Linked DNA regions of Mus musculus. The protein of the gene in region 2 binds, or shares a complex with, the protein of the main gene of each other region. Links are inferred from orthologs where the notes say so. Each region holds a gene or a part of one and is shown on either strand. Other genes may lie near its edges.

Region 1 (2,824 bases), on a different chromosome or scaffold from region 2:
CCTGGAACTCTCAATGTAGACCAGGCTGGCCTCAAAATCAAGAGACCTACCTGTCTCTGGCTCTCCAATTTTTTTCTTGATACAGAATCCCACTGCTCCCTGGGTAGAGTCAGAATGGAAGCAGAGCCTCTGGAGTGAATGACTTTAATCATGTAATGCCCTGGAGCTTCAAAGTTTTAGGTCAGTGGGAATTAAGTTAGTTAGTTTATTTATTAAAGATTTATTTATTTTATGTATGTGAGTACACTGTCCATCTCTTCAGACACACCAGAAGAGGGCATCGGATCCCTCCCATTACAGATGGTTGTGAGCTACCATGTGGCTGCTGAGAATTGAATTCAGGACCTCTGGAAGGGCAGTCAGTGATCTTAACTGCTGAGCCATCTCTCCAGCCCCTAGGACTTAAGTTTTAAAAATGATATTCCCTTCTAGAGAAATAGCTCAGTGGTTAAGGGCACTGGCTACTTTCCCAGAGAACCAGGGTTCAAGGCCCGGCATCACATGGTGGCTCACAACCCTCTGTAACTCCAGTTCCAGAGAATCTGATGTGTTCTGACCTCCACAGGCATCAGGCTAGGCACATATACACAGTGCACACTCATATACAGAAAATAAGCAATAAATTAATAAAATATTTAAATATGACATCCCTACTCAGGGTAATTTTTCTCTGTTCTGTCTGTCTGTCACACCAGATACTTCCTGAGGTGGAGAAAAAAACAAAGCAGACTGCTGAAGCCAGGAAAAGCAGTTACCATCTTGAGGCTGACTGTGGGGACTGTTTTTTTTTTTTTTTATATAGGTACAAAGGGAAACCTCTGCCAGCGAAAGATGCCCCTTGGCATTAGTGTGGCCTTGACCTTCCCATCCGCTATGATGGCTTCCTATTACCTGCTGCTGCAGACCTACGTGCTCCGCCTAGAAGCTATCATGAACAGTATCTTGCTCTTCTTTTGTGGCTCAGAGCTGCTGCTTGAGATGCTCACGCTGGCCACCTTCTCCAGGTATTACTGCTGAGGGCTGGACTCCCCACCCAGAGAGGGATGCATTGCTCTTTGAAGCCTAGAAGATGTAGAAAACTGAATGTGAGGGTGTGTCCATGGGAATGCTTTTCTGACCTCCAGTAGGTAGAAAAGTTCTCTGTATATGTGTTCTGCATCTGTACATTCATCTTTGTGTATACACAAATGTTCAGGTGTGTGTGTGTGCAGACCAGAAGCTGATGATGTTAAGTGTCTTCATAACTTTACACATTATTAGATTGGAGAGTCTTTCCCTTGAACCCAAAGCTCTTCAATTTGCTTAGAGCAGCTAGCCAGCTTACCCCAGGAAACCCATTTCTCCTATGGGTGCTGGTCCTCATGCTTGAGTGGCAAGTACTTTATCCACTGAACCATCTTCCCAGGCCCCAAAGCATCTTTCCTAAGGAACATAGATAGTCTTCTGGTTCTTTGGAATCAAGAGACATCTAAAATGCAGAGTCCAAGCTAATAGTTGTTAGTCACTAGTCTTTTTTTTTTTTTTAATGTCCAGTGCTGTTTGACCCGCCTGTATGTCTGTGTGAGGGAGTCAGATCCACTGGAACGAGAGTTACAGACAGTTGTGAGCTGTCTGTCACGTGATGCTGGGAATTAAAGCTAGGCCCTCTGGAAGAGTAGCCAATGCCCTTAACTGTCCTGCCATCTCTCCAGCCCTATTCATTGGTCTTTAAACAGTGTCTTTCTTTTTGCCTTTAGCATGGACAGGATCTGAAGTACAAGAATTCCAGCTGGTGACAACACATATCCATCTGGTACTTCAGCCACACTGGTGAAAAGTGGTAGGTCGAGCTAACCTGGGAAAGGTTTGTGTGGTTTTTCCTCAGTGCGGACATTTGGGCGCTGAGCACCTACCTGAGGCCAGTGGCACCATCTTTAAAGCGGGATCATCAGCAGGAGACTCTTTCCTTTTGTTGTAGGGAGGGGCAAGGCTGTCCCCATCTTGGTGTTTCTAACAGCTTCCTAATGATCTCAAGTTCTCTTCTGTGGTCATCATGGCCAGAGCACCTTGTGTGGACCTTCTAGTTTTGTTTGGCTTCCAGCAGAACCTGAGCCACAGCACTCTGTGCACGTACATCTGTCCTACATGACCATGGAGAGCCTCATAATGGTGGGCTCTTGGGCTGATTCCAATGTGTGTTCTCCACGCTGCTCCACCTGCCCCCATCCTGCTCAAAGAGATGGTGATCTAGAACCCATTTAGTAGTTTATAGTAGTATTTTTCTATTCTGATCATGAAGCAAACACAAAATTTTTAATAAAAGTATTTTCTGATACAGGGCTGGTTGATTTTCTCCTATGACACCTCTTTAGATTTCCTTTCTTCTAAGTGAGGGCACAGACTATCCCAACAGTGTTTTCTGAGGCTGTGTTTAGTGGTAAGCTGGGACACAAAGACACTCACGGAGTGTCCCACCAATCCTTTCCTCTCATGCCCAAGTTACAGCCTGAATCCCAGAGCACTGCCTGTTTGTCATCTTCAGTTCTTTGGCAAGACTGTAAATGCTCTTCTCTGCAAGTCTCCTTGTATCTAAATTCTTTCCAGCATAGGCTATGCATAATTAGACATTGAAAAGTGTATTCTAAACCTGACCAAGATCTTTAGAGTTAACTTAAAAGAAACATGTATCGGTCAAGATCTTACTAAGCATTGCCATGTATTTTATCCCAGGAAGCTACTATGAGTAATGAAAGAATCTACTTCAGGAAGCCTTGAGGTCAGTCTCTGTGTCAGGAGGATCCTGGAATATGTTTTCCTAGACTGCCTTTTTTTAAAAAGAAAAAAA
Region 2 (4,144 bases):
ATGGACAATGCGGATAATACTGCTGTATCTCCACAAAGAATAATTCCAAAACTAAACAGTATTTAGAAATAAAGCAAACACTGCAATCAGGCCTACAAATCTGAAGAACGTCTTTAAAATTTGTTTCAAATACCATTTTTTTGTGCTATTTGTTTTTCTCAACCGCAGAAATCTTTTCAAAAGAAAAATGTAACTGTCTACATTTTTCTTTTAATTACTTAATATCTATTATGTATGATATGTATAAGTACCTTATATATCTATCCACGTATACATACATACATACATTCATACATATATACGAGACGCACTCTTTCAAATAGATGCTTACAGCTCCTAAAGTTACCTGCTGGTGTAGAATAGCTGTGCATTTGGCAACAGTTCCCTGAGTAAGAAGATTAACATCTGAGAAGGAGAAGGCACTTTCCCCCAAGAACTCCCTTGGTACCCAGCAAATGACAGCAAAATGCCATCGCTTGGCATGGCCCTCCTCCCTCCCTCCAGCCCGGCTTAAGAGCCTTGGGCGCACTAAGGCTCCTCTTTCCTTGGCCTTCACTCCACTCTTATTAACCTAATAAGCACTACAATCCGCAAGCTGCTGCAGGAGGCTGCCCCATCTTGACGCTCCTTCTTCACTCAACCAGAGCGTGAACTCAGGGGGTGCGGTGGGGGTGGGGGCGCTCCACTTTCCCAGACACCAAGGAGGCTGGAAACTTTTATTGACTCCCCTCTTAGGGAAGCCACTAACTGGGAGCCCCTCGCACCTACCTGAGTAGCCGGAGGACTCTTTCCCAAACCTCTGCAAGATCCGCCAGCCCTTCGGCAGCCCCAAGCTAGCGCTTCCCTAAAAACGCAAAGGTTCCCTGAGCTACTCCTGGCTGTGGGTTGACACGCCCCGACCTCACCTGAGGGCGGCTCCGCCAGGAGACGGTTCAGGAAAGCTTCTGGGATGGTGGACCGGAGAAGGACTCCGCAGAAAACACAGTCATAGCCTGCCACGCTCGGACTCCGGGGCGGCCGCACCTTAGCAGCCGCTCCTCCCGCCTCCCGAGCCTTCCCCCAGCTCTTCCAGGGCGGCCGCAGACTCCCGCATTGCACGCCGGGAACGCGCCGCTCTTCCCAAAAACTTCCAATCCCAGGATGCACAGCCGCGACGCCGAACTGCACTCTGGGACGTAGAGTCCTCATCTCACGGCTCTCCCTCATCCACAGTAAGGAGGGCTTGGAGGGGAAATAGAGCCGTAAAGCTTTTTCCAGGGTCGTGAAATGTAGTCTTCCCAGGTATCCCGGGGCCTAGTTCCGGTCTTGGCAGGCTGGGGGGCGGGGAGTGGTGTCGCCTAGCAGCCGGCGCCGCTTCGGCTCGGTCGGGAAGAGTTGGCGGGAGCAGCCTGAGTGCGCGAGGACCGCTCTGGGAAGCGTGAGGCCGGGGCGGTGGCCGAACCCGGAGGTGGTCGCTGTAGATGAGTGACTGCTGCTGGTGGCAGGTCTTGGTTTCGGTGGGTGGATCCTCGTGAGCCGGAGCCGCTTAGTGTCGTTCACAGGATCGTAATCCCGAGGGACAGGGTGCAGCCCTACCTATCCAGACCTCTGTCGCTCTTGTCTGCAGTGTCGTCTCGGCCTCCCTGATTGAGCTTGATTCCGCAAACACTTCATTTAGCTCAGTCTTTTTATCTACTTTAAAAATCCTCTGGTCCCCTTTCCTCAGAAGGTTTTCAAAAACTTCCAAACATCTTGGGAGTTGGTACCATCATTGATGGTAGGGGACTTGGAAAAGGGGCCTCGGGGTTTTAGCTCCGAATTCGTCTTAGCAAGAAAATAATAATTTAGCGTGTACATTATCGTATAGCCTGTGTCAGGGGAACTAATTTTCGTCGAGGCTGTTTGCCTCTGCATCTGTTTTGCAGTTCAGGAGCCATAGCTCTTAGCCAGCACCTAGAGAGTTAAGTAAGACCGCTCATGATCATGTAAACACTGCAAGGCCATTTTCCTTGAAAATGCTAAAATCCACCTGCTTCTTTGTAGAGGCTGAGAGACAGTGAAAGAATTCAAGATGCCACCTAATATAAAGTGGAAAGAATTAATCAAAGTTGATCCAGATGACCTGCCACGGCAAGAAGAGTTAGCAGATAAATTATTGATATCTTTATCCAAGGTACTTAATAAATGATTTGTACACAGAGCCTGATGTACAATGTCATGAATTGAAATTGCTTCTTGAAATCATTGAATGCTATAACTGGAAGAGTGCTTGTATTTAATGTGCAGGGTATGAAATAGTCCATTTTTTGTGTGTTTGTTTCCTTAGGTGGAAGTAAATGAACTAAAAAATGAAGACCAAGAAAACATGATACATCTATTCAGAATTACCCAGTCTCTAATGAAGGTTTGTAGGAAAGAGTGTGTAGGAAAAGAAATATTTTTTAGGAGAAACATAAAGAGTCATAAAGAATCATATGGTCAAATAAAATACAAAATCTCTCCCCTATAAGCTATACATGAAATGATAAGAGGATTCTAGATTCTTCATAAATAAATACTGAGAAAGAATATGTATTCTTTACATTAAGGTAAAAGCATATAGAAAAATATTTGGGGCCAGTAATTTGGGATATACTGTTCAAGAGTTTGAGAGTATATTTTGGTTATCAGCATTTTAGAAGGGAATAAAGGTTTTTAAATCATACTTGGTAAAGAAATGTACTTATGAAGGCAACATTAAATGTGTTGTATAGACTGAAGGGATGAGAGCTGATTAGTTCCAATTATAAGAAGGAATTACTAAATTTATTAATAATAACAATTGGGATAGTAAAAAAGATATTGAAAACATTTTAAGTAATGGCTATAAAGTTTAACGGAAAAATCAGATATAATTCAAAGTCTTGCCATTCTGGAATTTCTAGCCTTATGTATTTATTCAACAACTATTTACTGACTGTCTCTGTGTGTTAGTCATCGTACACACTACAGACTGAGATAGCAAATTCCACACAGTTTCCATTCCCACTGTTTACATTACAGTGTAAATAATACAGATTCTTCCCCTCTCGTTTTAATGTTCAGATGAAAGCCCAGGAAGTAGAGCTCGCTTTGGAAGAAGTTGAAAAGGCTGGAGAAGAACAAGCAAAATTTGGTAAATGTCTTGGGAAAAAACTACTGTGGTTCCATTACTTATTAGACAGTATAAAATCTATCCTATTCTATAACATATGTATTCAATTTATACTGAAAGATGCTACATCCTTGTGCAGTTCCAGGTACTGGCCTGAGTGCTGTGGTAGGGGGTGAAGAAAAGAAAACACACAGACACTTAGAACAGTTGTTTTCGGTTGGACCAGGCTCTCTAATGGAGCAACTGCCCCACCCCAGAAGCTCACTGTCTGTATTATATCCACTTGACCAGAGCAGTGGAGTTGTTGCATAGCTGAACATAAAGTCGAGTGAGTGCATACAGATAAACATGAAGGCAGGGTTTCTGCTGTTGAATAGGGAGGCAGATTTATCAAATCTCAGTAGGAGTAGTCTCTATAAGGGAGCCATAAACATTAGGGGGACATTTTCTGCACACCCTGTCAACATCCACAGTCAGACGAGGAGGGAAGGCTTTGCCGTTTGCCATAGGCCTGAGACATTTGGAGTTCCTGACGTGGCTTTGCCCATGTCAGTAGTACACACTGACTCAGGGCTCATGCACTGAAGCCTTCCTCTGCTCTCTACATGAGGCATTTCTAGAATGCATATTTTATGCATTTAGTATATAATAATTACTTTCCTGTATCTGTTAAGGATGGAATCTTTTACAGAGAACAGTACTATTTTATTAAAGTTTACTTAAAATCTGATTATAGGAAACTTAACCAATTAAAACATTTGTGTTTTTTTTTAAATAGAAAATCAATTAAAGACAAAAGTAATGAAACTGGAAAATGAACTGGAGGTATATATATATCCTTTTATATTTCCTTGTTTTTGAATTTTCTTGTAGTTGTTATTAATTGCATTATTTTAAATTGTTTTCAAATCCTCCCAGATTGGAAAATACAAGATTTTGTGCTCATGCGTTTATTCATTACACAGAATGTGCTTTTGTGACTTGAGTTCTAAGAATTATGCATCCAGTGAAGTAAAAACGGATCCCTTCTGA

The links. Proteins that work in one complex are often made in the same cells at the same time.
Region 1: Cep290 (region 2) and Tmem216 share a complex: the UniProt entries of both Homo sapiens proteins name them as parts of the tectonic-like complex. The link is inferred for Mus musculus from reciprocal best matches to the Homo sapiens genes CEP290 and TMEM216.

The regions. Positions count from the first base shown.
Region 1 is NC_000085.6:10,549,953-10,552,776, reverse strand, and holds the end of Tmem216 (transmembrane protein 216), read left to right. Parts: intron 1-802; coding exon 803-1,004; intron 1,005-1,736; coding exon 1,737-1,752; 3' UTR 1,753-2,316; downstream 2,317-2,824. UniProt on the Homo sapiens protein: Part of the tectonic-like complex which is required for tissue-specific ciliogenesis and may regulate ciliary membrane composition.
Region 2 is NC_000076.6:100,486,257-100,490,400, forward strand, and holds the start of Cep290 (centrosomal protein of 290 kDa), read left to right. Parts: upstream 1-1,325; 5' UTR 1,326-1,496; intron 1,497-2,022; 5' UTR 2,023-2,050; coding exon 2,051-2,152; intron 2,153-2,305; coding exon 2,306-2,383; intron 2,384-3,063; coding exon 3,064-3,133; intron 3,134-3,890; coding exon 3,891-3,937; intron 3,938-4,144. UniProt on the Homo sapiens protein: Involved in early and late steps in cilia formation. Its association with CCP110 is required for inhibition of primary cilia formation by CCP110.